Linked DNA regions of Rhinolophus ferrumequinum. The protein of the gene in region 1 interacts with the protein of each later gene in a biochemical or structural test. Links are inferred from orthologs where the notes say so. Each region holds a gene or a part of one and is shown on either strand. Other genes may lie near its edges.

Region 1 (7,746 bases):
AGAAATGGATGGGCAAGTGAAAAGAGTCAAAGTAAAAATGCAAGCATCAAAGTATGTTTAAAGAAAATCCAGATAATAGCAATTACAAAAAGAAAATGACTTTGATATCCACACCACTAAAATTCTGCATTATCCCAAATACTTTGTAAACACTGCCATAATCTATTTCTAAGCCCAAAACAGCTTAAACTGTAAATCATGTTATCTATAAGCAATAATTTAAATGTCTAAATATGCACCTAATTTTCTGAAAATGTAAAGTATGTTTATTAAAGAAAAGTAGTGTTTATTACCAAGAGCTCAGTACCAATATCTTTAAAGTAAATGAATTTTAGAGATTTACCAATGTTATGTGTAAATGTCTATAATTACACTTCATTAAGAAATATGCAATAAAAATTTGGTTTCCATATTTGAATCTCTGTAAGCTACATGCAAAGTTTGCAATACCTTGTTCTCAAACAGCAGACAGACTTCATAATACTTGAATTAATTAGTTGAAGGATGAAGTTTATCACTATTGAAAACTCCTAAGTACCTTTAATAAACAGTGCCATTAAATGTGCATTTTTTGCAATATAAGCAAACGTTGGAAATGCTCTAGACTTGCCAACTTAATGTAAGAAAACCTACACAATACTAAGAAGATCCAAAATTTGAAATCATTTAAAAATATTTTAATTTATTATCGCTTTTTTTAAAACCTCTTTTTCAAATCACTGTCACATTTTAAACAAGGCTTTGAAAATACTTATAGTTTAGCAATGGATAAAGCCTAATATTCATTAAGTTAATCCAGTGCTAAACTAACAAAATTTTAAGGAAACCAAAATAAATTTTGCTTGTTTAGGGGAAAAAAGGAATTAAAGGCAACTACAAAGGTGAACACCTCGCTTTTAAAAAATGTGTTGTCTGCATCTCAACACACTATTATTGCTCCCTCAAGGAAAAAAAAAAATCAAGAACTAGAAAATGGGATTTAAGCAGTTATTTTTGAGTGCTACAATACTTTTCATATGTAAAATTTACTAATGCAGAGAAACATCTTCAAAAAGGATAATTCTCTGTAAAAGACTCGCTCTATTAAGGCTTTGTTGCTCTGAAGCCAAGTATAAACCATATAAGGAAACTGAAGTTCAATGCCATTTATTTTGCTCTGCTCTTTCAGATGCCCAAGAATAACCTTTCACTGCCTAATGATACGTTCCAAAAATCATAAAGTAGATCAGTTATGCACTTAAATTCCCTGATAAAGCTACTTTGACTTAACAGGAATTTCTTGATGGTTTACAAGTCTTACCAGCAACTTAAAAGAAAAAAAGATCTCCAAAAGCTAAAGTCTGGGGGGTAAAAATCAAAACAATGCATTACTATATATATTAATATACATCAACTAATATATAGCAATATATATTTATATATATTATTAGTTACAAGAATTGAAATGTACGTAATAAAGTAACAAAGAACAAGTTGTGAAATAATTCGAGCTTGCTCTTTCAAACCTGCCTTTCTCTTCTTTGAACTAAAGAAGACAATTTTTCTTGGGGTAATATGGAACATGAACAAGCCGAACAATTTATATTTAGGAAACACCTACCAACAGACTACCACATTCATTTAATAATTATTCAGGAGCACAGTATTATCTGTCACCTCTCTTGAACACAAAGTACTGGGGAAAAAATTGAATTTTAAAAGACACCACTAAAGAAACATTTTGTATTTGCTACGACCAAAACTAGTTTGATCCATACAGACTGCCGATTGGTTCACAAGTGTTTATAACTCTGACTGGTGGAAAGTTTCCCATGCTTCACTAATTCCGGCCCCCACAGTAGGTACCTATCACTTACTAGGCTGAACTGGCCAAAACATTAGGACCAACACAAAAATGTAAAGACTGTCTGTACTATACAAAAAAGCACATCTATTTACCACAATGTGACACCCATGAAAATCGTTTTAAAACGTTTTACTTCCCTTCCTCTATGTTCTGTTCTAAAGTGTAGAGAAGTCCTAACAAATCAAACTTACAAGTGTGTTTTTAATTATAACTCCCTCTTTATCCCTAACACTTACTCCCTTTTTCTTTCCACCACTCAGTTACAAGAAAAATCTAGCAGTCATTTGCTTTCAATTAATTAAACAAGTATTATAAGGTTTTAAATGTCTGAAAGAAACAAGTTACTAAAGAAATATATTACCTACCTGGAAAAAACGACTACGAATGGCAACCTCTTTTGTTTACAAAATCCAACGACATACATTTATAAGGGTTTGAACTAAAAAAATATCTGTACGATTAAAAGCCAAAGCCCAACTGGTAACAGTGTACACAAATGTGGCAGCCATCTCAACAGCAAATCACTCGCTGCAGCGACCTAACTTCCTTCCAAAACAAAAGTTGCCAGGTTCAGCAACTTAATAAAAAATATACATTGTATATGCTCCGGGAAACTAAAACGTCTGGACCTTGCGCTGAACAAAGGCACTCTTTCTTCTGATTGCTTAAAACTTTTCGTCCCACTGCATTCTTACAAGCTCTTCTAGAATAACCAGAGTCCAGATGGTAGGAAGGGGGGAAAAATCAGTTCTATTTAGCACCTGAAACATTATCCAGTTCGACATTAGAAAAGAATTAGGACAACGTGGGGGAAAGTGAAAAACATTCAAGTATTCTTTCTTTCCTGGCCCAGGAGCTTTGTGACTTCTAGACACTTTTCGTGATAATTACCTTTCAGTCGGGCAGTGTCTCAGGGCAGCTTTTTCAAGGTTTCGCCAGACATGATTTCCTTCCCTTCGTTAGTCACTTTGGCTCCAGCCGAATTTCTCTACGGTGAGAGCGGATGTGGAGTGGCCTCCCGCAGCAGGACGAGTAGGCTGCTCCGGTGGGGGCTGGGAAGCGGGCTGGTCTTCGAGTTCTGCAGGAGTTTCCCAGCCCCAACTAGGATCTCCGCCGAAAAAAAAAAACTTTTCACTCGTGACACCGCCCGGAATTACCGTGCGAAACTCACTTCCTGCCTTGGCGAGAAGCAGGATCCAGCTCCGTCCAGGGGAACCCGGAAAACCAGCTCCGCGCGCGCCGAGGGGGCAGGGAGGGGGCGTCCGCCGCGAGCCGCTGGCCCGGGGCGACCCGCGCGCCCCGCACTCCCGACGGTGACAGTACCCAGCCGGCGGGGCCACCGACGCCGCCGGGACGCTGGACGGACCTTGGCCGCACTAGGCCGCCGCCCCCAGAGCCGGGCGGCGGGGTTATTGTCTCGATAGCGCCTGCCGCGCCCTACGCCCGCGCCGCCGCCGGGACCCGGAGCCGAGGGGCCGAGCTGGCTCGATGGCGGCCCCCTCCCCGGGCTGTCCGTCGGGCCGGCCGTCCTTCTGGCCGTCCCTCTCCGCCTTCCCTACTTGCCCTCGAACCCTCTTCTCCGCCCTCTCCCGGTTTCCCGCCGCCGGCCCTTCGCTCCCCTCCTCTTCTGCCCCGGCTGTGGTGGCTCCCCCGGGAAGCGCAGGGGGTGGGGGCGGGCGGCGGCTGCGTCTCCTCACGAGCTCGCGGGGCCGCGGCAGGGGCCGAGGCTGCGTCCCGCGCCGCCGCGCCACATTCACTCGAGCGAGAGACTGCGAGGGGAGGGGAAGCGAGGGGAGGGAGGCAGGGAGAGGAGAGAAAGGAGGAGGAAGGGGGCTGGGGCGGAGGAGAGTTACTGCCTCACAGGCCGCCGCGGCTTCGGCGCCACCGCCCCGGCGGCCAGGAGGCGGGGGGAAGAGGCTGCGCGCCGCGGCTCCGCGGCGGGGGCGGGGCGGCCTCCCGCTGGCTGCACCCCAACCGCCGGCAGCTGGGCTGGAGGCCGGCGCGAGCCAGTCACCGCTCGCGGGGGCGGCGCAGGCCGACGTCGGCGGCGGCAGGGGGCGACCGGCCGGGGGCTGGGGCTGGGGTCGGGGGGAGGGGCCGGCGGCGGCCGAGGCTTCGCGTGCGAGGCGCCGCGTGAGGCCCGCTCTGGTCCCGGCAGGGGGAGGCCTGTCTGCTGCTCCCCGGCAGCCTAAGTGGGGGCGCTTAGGACGCGGACCCCGGCTGCTCCGCGCCCGGCCCGGAAGACGGAGAGCCCGCTGACCTCCGCTGGATCGGTCGCTTGAGTTTCTTCGTACGACACTTATCGGTGCTCAGGGTTCAAGTCAAGCTCGATTTTAAGACTGCGGGTATCGCTTTCAACTGCAGCACTCCAACTTCCTCTAATGGCACGCTCAGTTTGCAGGAAACCACAGCGGCAGCTCCGTGGAGCTTCCCACGCCGGCCCTTGCTCCGAGCTTGTTCGCACAGCAACGCAGCTGGGGCTCCTCCAAGTCTCAGCCTCACCCGCCGGGGAGACAAAGCTGGCGAGGGGAGGGGGAAAACGGCCCGCGAAATTGCCTCGAGATAGTGCCTTTGTTAGAAGAAACGTTGGATACACTCCGAATGCGACGCAGGCTTCCACCGCCAGTGGTTTCGGTGGTGCAGTCGTTGAATTGCGCTGGCCCTGATAATTCAGCCTGGCAGGGTTTGCGTTTATTGCAGAAAGAAACTTAAGCTTTCTATCAGCACATATGGCAGAAACGCCTCAACCATAACATTGCACAGTTTTTGCAGTTACTGTTTCAAATATGTTAACAGACAAGACGGCCTTGTTTTACCCGGAGGAGGAACGTAACAGATACGGAACAAACCATTCCCCGCCCCCAGTCTGCTGTATTTAACTGGGTACAGTGATGGTAATTAGTTTCTGTGTCCCTGCAGTCACTATTTCAGTTCTTCGTCTGTGTTCCAGAGATAATTATTTATTACCAAGTTTGAATAAAGAGCTGTATGCCCTACAGATGATTTTTGGCTTGCATCCAAAAGAAGGAATTCATAAAGTCCATCAGAGAATTGTTTACCGAAGAGAGTTGTACGTTACTGAGACTTGAAATAACTCCAAAGATATTCAAGACATTCTATTAGGGGTGGGAGCATTTTAACTACTTCCAGAACTGCTGAAATTAACACAGGTAGTTCCTTCACTTAGAGCAGAGGCTGAAGGTTCACAGTACCAAAGTGTTCAGGCTTAATTCAGTGCTGAACTGGAGGTAAGACAGCATTACACTAGAAGCTAGGAAACGAAACGGCAACCAGGGTATACTAGTAATACGAAGCTAGTTATCCATTTTATGTGAACATGACTCTTAGCCATTGTATAAATTCTAAAGTTAACCTATTGTATTTTTAATCACAAAAAATATTTCCCATTCCACTTTCAGCAACTGGTTTGGGTCTGACCCAAACCAGACTCAGTGGTATAGCTCTAAACTGGAAGGATCACTGCCCTAAAGCCATCTGCCCAGGGTGGCAGTATCTCCCATACCAGCTCCAGCTGGATTTTGGGATACAGATAATGCATTTCGTCTCAGATTGATTCAAGATCCTTTCAAATGTGGCATCATATTCTAGTAAACCAACAGCCCCCACCCCAAACCTAAATGAATAGGACTAGACCAGTCCTTAGGCTAGGACCTGTCCTGACCCTAGCCTGTTTGGAAATTTAAGTTGATCTGGGGCACGGATCAGGCTGATTACCATTTAGCTTAGAAAAGTCCCTATAACCCAAAACCCCTTCTCCAATTCACCTGATATTTTGCCACTAGAGTTTAATTCCTTTTAGCATATTTCTCTATCACAAAGCCATAATCCTGAGAAAGGTAATATTCTAAGCCTTTTAGTTAGTTATATCTAACTCATCAGATTGTTTCCCTAAAGCAGCTTTGATGGGAAGGAATATAGACAGCATATGCTGAGGCTGAGTATGTAGGAGAGGGAAATGTAATAGAGGGCAATGTGGAGAGAACAGAAGTATAGATAATAAAGTATTCCATTTGATTGTTATGTAAGTCCTACTTACTCATACTGTAAGATCCCCAAAACACTGGTCTTAAAAGGATAGAAGACAGGATGCGCTTGTTAATATAACCTATTTTTTCTTTAAAAATCCCTTTGTAACGTATCTTCAGGAATACTCATCTGTGCTCACACAGAAAAGTGACATAACAGCTACCGTGTTGCCCCGAAAATAAGACTGAGCTTATATTAATTTTGGCTCCAAAAGACGCACAAGGGCTTATGTTCAGGGGATGTCATCCTGAAAAATCACGCTAGGGCTTATTTTTCGGTTAGGTCTTATTTTTCCGGAGAACACGGTATATGGTCAGGGTAGTCAATAATCAGGACTAATAATTCATCTTTGTTATTCATTGCCAACTATTTAGTTCCAACTCATGAACAGCACATACAGATATAGCCAAATCTTCCACATGTTTTTTATTACAAGGCATTCCTGGTCTGTGCTTTATAGATTAGTTTTCTTTGAAAATCCTCCCACAGTTGAACTTAAGATGGACTTAACAGTTTCAATTATGATTAAAAGAACTGAAACCCCACGTTAAACAAGGCTGCCTAAACCATGATTCTGTAATAATTAACTGAACTCCAGGACCAATTTAGAGAGTAAGCTAATAAATATTTGTTGATAGTATAGCTTTATCTTCCACATTGTGATTCTCTAAATAATTGTCTGTGAAAGACAGGGAATTCTTTGAGATTTCCCTTCCCAATATCTGGGTTCAGGAGAGGAATTACTGCCTACTAGAGATAAAGCCACATATCTGAATGGAAGCTTCAAGACCTTGCCAAACGCATTCCAGAGAATGCACACAGCATCCATCAGAAAAAGTGTCTTAGCAGAGCACCTATCCACTGCTTTAAAAAAGGTCCCCCTGTTATTTCCCCACGACAGTCAAGCAGCTGTGCAGAAGCATTATGGAGACAGTAAGCAGGAGACAAGGAAGAGATTAGGATGATCATTCTTCTTTTCTGTCTTCCTCAACACCTAGTAAAGAATTGGTTACCTAAAACCGAAGTTTTTATCGCAGAATTTGGGGAAAAATTAATCTTTGGTCCAGATTAGAGTTAGATTCAAAAAAAAGTTTAGAAGCATTAGATAAATTAGATCATAGGGACTGACTTCCCTATTTTCACGTCCATCTTATCCCCTTGGTAGAAAGGGCAAGAGGTTAGAGTGGCAAGTGTGCAGGGAACCGAGCTTGGGCTCAAAAGAGGCAGTACATGCAAGAACAAAAATTAAGGATTTTATAATACTTTGGGGATGTCATCATCCCTCCTATAGCATGTTTCAGCCTTCAGAGATTTTCAATGATACTTTATGAATCACAGAGAAGTCTGCCTCTATTTGTGAAAAACTTTTTTAAAAAAATTTTGATGTTTTTCCCCCTAGTATATGCTTGATAACATTTTTTTCTATCATATACATTTTGTAGCCTAGCAAAATTAAATTTCTTTCAGATGGCTTACAATTTTTTTTTTAAGTGTGGAAAAAATAAATAATGCATGGTGATTATTTGTGTGACCTCTGAAACAAGACTGCTTGACTTAGAAACTTGGCTTGGTGACCTTGGGCAAGTTCTTTAACATCTATAATAAACAAAGTTGAGTTTCCTTACCTTTTGGGGGACTACAATACTAACAGCCTCATAGCTTGTTCGGAGAACTACTTACATGGGACAATGCTCAAAAAGTGCTTAGCACAGTGCTTTGCAGACTCAAAAGTGTTAGCTGTTATTAGCAATGCACTTTAAAATGCACTGACAATATATACTATGCTTCCCTCATATAGTGTATCATCCAAACTAGAATACTTTAGAGAGTTAATAGACATTGATAACAATTTC
Region 2 (7,525 bases), on another chromosome or scaffold:
GACAGGGGGTGTTGATAGCCTAGCACATCACCTTGTACACAATGGATACCAATAAACACTGGTTGTTATTGATAATGTGATAGTAACCTAAGTTTTTATTGTCTATCTACCCACCCACACATGTGTACCTCCTTGTACCACTGTCTGAAGTAGGGGAAGGACGGAACGTGAGGACATCCGGGACATTTTGAGACTCACCAGTGACCTATATTAAGTTGGCACTTCGTAACTCCCCAAAGCACATCCCTGTTGTTGTTTTCTGTTTCTCAGAGCCCAGAATGCTCCTTACCACCCACAGTCTAAGAGCTAATCCCAGTTTCCACTTCTCTAATAATCATCTTCTCTCTTTGCCATTCCTCTGTGTTCACTTCAGTGCTTCCTCCTACACTCTTCACAAGGAACTATCTCCTTATGTTTTAAGCCCCTGTTTGTGTGGACTTTGTTTTCAGCCTATCATACTCCACCCTCTATAATTTAATCCATAGCCCCCATCCCTCAACTCCCCACCTCCTCTCTCTCTGCCCACCTTTATTCCAATCTCCTACTTCCTGATGACAGCTTCCTTTCAGTCTGCCCTGTCCCCACTGCCTCTTGGTATTCCTGGCCTTTCTTCTTCTTTAGCATGCTCTCCCTAGGTCCCGCTAATTCATCTTGTCCACTGGGACCTGTAAAAGCTCCTGCCCCAATCTTCTGTCTACTCTTGCTTCTTCCATTCAACAGGACTTCTCTATCCAACAGGACTTCCAAGAATGCAGAAGAATGACCCAGAGAATTGGGGAGGATAATGACAGACAGAATTCAGGGCATCTATTTGCTTCTATTACTGGAAGCACTTGGGGAGCGTAAGAAAAATGGCTTTCTAGAGCCATTAACAGGATTCAGCTCTTGACCACCTGCTGCTCCTTGCTGAATCCTGCCAGCCAAAAAGCTGAAACACACCAAGTTTTATGAAGTGACAAGAGGGGAAGTGGCAAACACACATCATTTCTCAATCATATACATTCTCCTAGGGAAAGACGTGAGCTTGATTGGGGCACAAAACCCAGAAAATACACCTCTGAAGTTATCTCAAATGACATCCCTCTTCCTTTTTATGACTCATAACATCATCTCACACTCTAAAATGTTTACCCTCAGGAGATCTCCAAATCTCTATTTTTCACAGGGGAGAGTCAGGCCAACATCCTTTAAATTCTTTCACAGGCCAAATAGCCTGAGAGTTTGATCACTTACTTCCCCAACTCCTTCCAAGCAGTTATAATACACAATTTAAATAAAGCCCCAGTAAATTTGTACCTGTAAATCTGTACACTACGTACACCCCTCTCTCTTCCAACTGACTTCCAGAAATTCATGAATTAGAGGGTCTTCTCATTCACCATCAACTCTGTGAGAAGTCTAGACCTGCCCTCTTTTTGCTCTACACCACATAATTTCTTATTTATTTATTAGTTTTGTTGGTGTTGGTTTATCTCACGCCTTCCCCTACCCTACAAAAAGCAAATTACCTCCCTTTTAATTGGCTACCAGCTACCTCACTATCCCTAATCTTAAAGAAAAGTGAAGAACAAGAAAGAAGAAAAAAAGGAAGAAGAAGAAGAAGAAGAAGAAGAAGAAGAAGAAGAAGAAGAAGAAGAAGAAGAAGAAGAAGAAGAAGAAGAAGAATTAAAACAGAAAAAGAAGGAAAAAAATTATTCCACCCAGCAAACCAGGTTTAAAACCTCTCTTCCCTCTCAAGGTATTCATGTTAGGAGACTCTATTCAAGCCAACTCCCAGGAGCCTTCATGAGGGAGACTTTTGCAGGGAAATTTCCCTTCCTCTTTGACACCATAAAACTAACAGGACTGTGCAGATGACCAATTCCCCAGTCCCTGAAACCCCAAACAAGCTTTGCATCCCAGGCCTCCTCCTTCCACCCCCCACCCCCCACCCCCAACAACAAGGCTGTTTTCATCTCTCAGTGCTAATTCCTGCAACTGTCTTAGGGTGGTACCTGAACCTTATGGGGGGGGGGGGGGTTGGAGGGGGGAGACACTGAGAGAGAGACTGAGAGATTAAGAGACTGAGAGAGAGAATCAGAAAGACCAACACCGTAAGAAATATGCACTTCAGCGCACGCCATTTATACAGTCCCTATGTGTTGCTCAAATGCTCAGAAAATGCACGCAAATCCAAATGTGGGGAAAGGCAGCAATTCCAACCCGTTCACCAGCTGTTCCCCCAAAGGAAGGGAGCCGGTGAGTTGGGATGAGGCCAAACGATGCTCAACCTAAACCCAGCCTCTAAACGACATCTTTAATCGCACCTTCGCCTCTAGACCTAGGTTCCCGCTCGGCTACATTAAACAGGGCGCACGCACCCCATCCCTGGGGTTGGGAAAATAACAACTGTTGGCCCCCTGGAGCGCCGCGCAGCATCTGCACCTCCCTTCTCCCACCTCCTGGTTTATTTTTAACCGCCTTCCATTCATGCCCTTCTGTCACATTCCCGATATTATTTATCCCTCAAATGTCCACTGTTTTTCAACAGCCAAAAGAAGAGAGGGAAAAAAATGATCAGAGAGGCATCATACTTACCGTTCCCCGGCAGGGTGCAAAATAAAAATAAAGAATATCCCCCGGTTGGTTTTTATTTTCCCCCCTCAAGCTGCAACAGCTGGAGGAGGGGAACAATGATCTTGGGAGCAGAAAGAATCACGCCTGTGTGGCAGGTGGAGGCTCCAAAATATCCACGGAATAAGTTCTGTTGCCTGGCCAGGGGGGCACAGAGTGCTCGCTGCTGGAGCGCAGGGGTGGGCATCGGGGGTGCCCCAGGGAAGACCCTCAAGACTCCTGGCTCCTCTGGAGTTCAGCACAAAAGCGCTCGACTGGGAAAGGAAGCGAAGGTTCCCGAGAAAAAGAAACAAAATCCTAGACAGCAGCGATCACTTGTTAAGCCCGAATTCCTCCTCCAACACCCATCCCTCTCCCTCCCGGGCTGGCTGCAGCAGCAGCACACGCCTCCCCAGGCCGGGAACGCGCCGGCCGGGGGCGGGGCCAGGGCCGGGCCGAGGGTGTGGCGTTCAAGGCGGTCGCCTGGGGCGCCTCCCGCGCGGCTAGGCGGGCGCAGTCACGACTGCACGACTGCCCGCCTCCCCTTCTTGTCCGGCTCCCCGACGCCGAAACTCCGGGGAACGACTGGGAACCATTTCAGGAGCCCCTGGCTATCTCCCTCAGCGGAGAGACGCTAATCCCAGAGGGAGAGGTGTCCTTTTGGAGCTGAAATGGGGTCCCGACGGTAGAGCCGGATCCCCGAGAGAATTTGGGGGGGTGACCTCGACGGGAGGTCGTCTAGACCACAGGGTGCTTCTGGATGCCTTCTCTTCTCCCTGACCCGCTTTCTATACATCTATCCTGGCGCGGGCGCGCGCGCGCGCGCGCACACACACACACACACACACATACACACATACACACACACATACAACGGATTTGGGGGCTTGGGGGCTGGGTGTATCTCTGCCGAGGCCGCAGGCCAGGAGCCCTCCCGTCTCCTGCAAGCGCGCCCTGACCCCTGGATCTCCGCCTCCCTTGCACAATTTGTCGGCCTCAACTCGGGGGGTCAGGCCTCCAGGGCGCAGAGGAGACGGACTTGAAACGTGTTCCCCCCAGGTGAGGGGTGGGTTAAAGAAACTGGCATCAGGCCCAGTCTAAGGGTAGTGCACGCGAGGCGCAAGTCCCGTGGAAGAAAGTCGCAGGGCTCCGAGCTGGTTGCAAACATGTCTTGGGAGCGTGGGATCGGGGCGGGGGGTGGGCGGGTTGGAATAAGGGGAGGCGGCCTTCGTGAACCTGTTGCTGCAAAAAGAGATGGGACTCAGCCCGAGGTTTGGCTCCTGGGAAGTCTCTAAAGGGAGGTCTCTATCATAGCGGTCAGATCTCTAACACCACTCCACTGAAACCACAAAAAAGTACACCCCTTCTCCTCCCCGCGGTCAGGCGAGTGTACCCACAACGGAGTCCTCACCCCAGGATGGATTCTCAGGCTGGAATGTGAAATGCCCCTGGACCTGGATGTAAATATGCAATGCCCACAAATACACCAAGAGGAAGGACAGTGGTGGGAAATGCGAAATGTACAGGCACACAAGCTGATGCTCAGGTGACATCCTAGGCTCCGGGCACCTCTGCTCACTCCCCCTAATGGGCCAAGAAAGCAGTGGCAGCACACACCCGGACTGCTGGAGAAAAGGCGTCCTTGGGCGGGTCAGGTGGCATTGACGCTGCCACGGTAGTCCTCAGCTGGCAGCTTTGTTCGAGGGCCTTATTGGGCCTCCTCCTTTTGTGGAGCTTGATTAATTATTAAGAGAAATATTCCGGAGTTGAATTATAGATATGCCCTGTGCTCACTCACCTAACCACTGCTGGCTCCCCTTCCCACTGCTGGCTTTTCGTTCCTGTTTGATTTACAAAAAGAAAAATTAATAATAACAATAACTAAAATAATCACATTGTGATCAGTGAAAGGAAAACATGAAAGAAAAAAAAAGTGAAGTGCAACCTCACTTTTCCTAACTTATTCCAGCTAGTGCAGCTTGAACTTTTGTCATGAATAAATTTACCTGTGATCTCTTAGCTTCCACCCGGAGGTGGCGGAAGTAAGAGAAAGGTGCCTCCACGTGGTTCTCCAGAGGCTCTTTGCCTGGATACATTCCCCACTACCGGTCATTTGCAAGTATGGAGGGTGGATTTCTCTCAAAGAAAAAACCATCATGAGCAGTAGCCCCAAACCCTCTGTGCAGCTTCACAGCGTGAGGAAGGCACTGTGCAGTTTCATACCAAAAGCAAATAATTTGACTTTACAGTTGTCTCATCAGAATGATGTTTCTTGGGATAGTAGAGGGCAGGCCTGAGAGCACGGGATCTTGGGAGTAGTTTCCCAAAAGCAGATTGTGAGATCAATCATGAGAAACTGTGGTATGCTTTCAGGGAGATGCAACCTGAGATTGACTGACGTGTGAAAGATGGCAGTTATATGGAAGCTTGGAAATTTTAATGGGATTATGTTAAAACTTTAGGAATTATGCTTCCATGTGCCATTTATCGTCTGTTCCTATCACAGCCCAGAGAATATTTAAAAGTTTAAAATGCCTGGGGACTTTACAAATATGTGTACTTCTTAGGTGTCAGGAATCTGAATTACTAAAGCACAGGGAGGGTGCAGTCAAAGGCAGCGAAGGAAAAAACCACTCTCAGGAAGACATTCAGGTCATACAACACATACTTATTGAGAACGTGATCTAGACAGGTAACGCTCATGGAGTGCCCACTTAGGACCCAGTTCTGTGCTCCGTTCTTTACATGCATATTGTCTAATTTCATCTGACTAACGAAACACTCTGTGTGGCAGGTATTATTAAGATCACTATTTTATAAAGAAGGAAATTGAGGCTTCCAGTGGTTAACTAACTTGCCCAAAAGTTACGTAGCTAATTATGTAGCCGCACGGGGCCTTAAACATCTGACTCGCTGCACTGTGGACAAACCCCATGCTAGTGATGATAACACCACGTGGCCTATGCCCACTAGTCTTCACAAGCGAGTGGCTGTGTCAGAGGCACAGATTATGAAAACTAGAGAATGTGTGCTGTGATGGAGATGTGAGGATAGGTTCCTGGGGTGCAAAGGATGGAGAAGCACCTGACTGGGGAGAAGCAAGCACAGATTGACAAGGAAAGAAGAGCTGTGTCTGAAGAATGGTGAGAATTAGAGCCCCTGTTGAGGAGAATACAGGGGCACAGGGCACTGGGGTGGACCAAGAGTAACTGGAACCTGAGAGATAGGTAGGGTCCAACTGGGAATGGCACACTGGGACCCCAGCCTTCCCCCCTCCCCCCCCCCCTCTCTCTCTCTCTCTCTCTCTCTCTCTCTCTCTCTCACTCACACATACACACTGGCACACACACACACTCACAGACATATATACACACTCACACATTCACAGACACACACACTCTCATACTCACACATATACGCATACACAAAACTCTTTGCCCTTTTAAACAATTATAAAGCATTCAAAAAACAGTCCATTTCTTTCCGTGAAATCCTCTTAAGGATTCCTAGAAACCCACACAAACAGTAGTACAAAGATCCTTTAGCTTGTGACCAACAAAAATCTACCTGTCTCAATCCCAAACCTCTATTTCTTTTGGAGAGGAAAACATTATTTTCGTGCCTAGTCATCAGCTAGTCAAAATTTTTCAAGCGCTCCCCCTCCAAATACTCCTATTACAACAAATCTTTTCTCCCAGGCTTTACATTCTCTTAGTGGTGATACAGATGTTAAAGCCCGCATCTTGAAACCTTTGTTTACACAAAAAGGAGCACCTATCTTCCTTTGTACAAAGCAGATAGGAGGCCTTGTGAGATACAAACTAAGTCCATTAAAAATGCTTTTGTTCTCTTTGGGGACCATGGTCCCCAGTGAGTTGCAGCGTTCTGTTTACTCCTCCTCTCTTCACACAAGAAGCCCAGGACACCTTCCTGAAAATGTATTAAAATGAAAGAATAATGGAAACGGCTTCCATTTGCCAAGAACATTCAGTGCATGCGTTTGGGGAAAACTAAACGATGATCACTTTTTTTTTCCTGCTTACCCAGCCTCTCAACTATCTGACTTTTAAAGTTCTGAAGGTATGTGTCCTGGAGAACCTGACTCCATGCCTCCCAGTCCCAAATGCACGAATCGAATACAGATATTCTCAGCAGCCTATATTCCTTATAAACATGAGTCGCTCAGCTAGTTTTTTTCTTGTAGGTGAACTTTGCAATGACTGTTCACCACCACTTCCCATCCCATCTTATGATACCAGGACTGGTCAGGTCATAAGACATCGGAAAAGCATATTCCCTTCTTATTAAAATGAGAAAACATCAACCCTGGAGAGAGACACTGACTGCTGGCTTGCTTCCTGACTGATCACGTGCTGTGACAGGTGCAGTGGGAGTAAGGCAGCTTCTGTTTCTCCTGGGTGCACACTCTCAGCCCAGCAGGTGGGAACAGTCTGAAAGGTGTCACACCAGGGGCAGAGGGGAGCTGCACTTAATCGAGGTTGGAAAGAAAGGTTCTCAATGCAGAAGAAGCCACATGGCAAAGGCTTACGGGATGAGAAGGGCACGTGTGAGCATAAGCAAAGATACGCAGAGGATCCAATATGGAGCAGGAAAAGGTAAAGCGATGGTAACCTTAGATATGGCAACGCTCAGGAGTTTGAACTAGGGTCTAAGATACTACACTGCATGGAAGAACACTTTTCCCACTTCTACATACGGGACAGAGGTAGTTCACCCTCCCTTGGGCAAACCCAGATCAGCAGCTGTGACATCCCCTAAAAAAGACTGAGTTACAAGCATTCCTGGCCTTCCCGGCTCTTAGGGCATCCCTTTCTCCCCCATCTGTGACTGCATCTCGGGAGCCACAGGAGTGAAACTGAATTGGCCTCACCATAAGTCACCTCAGATTTAGTTTTCCAAATGCACATCAATG

What was found. The genes of interacting proteins can lie anywhere in the genome.
Region 2: the proteins of ERBIN (region 1) and KCNA4 interact in a test that uses a peptide from one of them, tested with the Homo sapiens proteins (3 studies listed by BioGRID and IntAct, with this or other methods). The link is inferred for Rhinolophus ferrumequinum from reciprocal best matches to the Homo sapiens genes ERBIN and KCNA4.

The regions. Positions count from the first base shown.
Region 1 is NC_046290.1:42,188,432-42,196,177, reverse strand, and holds the start of ERBIN (erbin), read right to left. Parts: upstream 3,001-7,746; 5' UTR 2,738-3,000; intron 1-2,737. UniProt on the Homo sapiens protein: Acts as an adapter for the receptor ERBB2, in epithelia. By binding the unphosphorylated 'Tyr-1248' of receptor ERBB2, it may contribute to stabilize this unphosphorylated state.
Region 2 is NC_046294.1:26,997,046-27,004,570, reverse strand, and holds the start of KCNA4 (potassium voltage-gated channel subfamily A member 4), read right to left. Parts: upstream 3,018-7,525; 5' UTR 2,578-3,017; intron 1-2,577. UniProt on the Homo sapiens protein: Voltage-gated potassium channel that mediates transmembrane potassium transport in excitable membranes. Forms tetrameric potassium-selective channels through which potassium ions pass in accordance with their electrochemical gradient.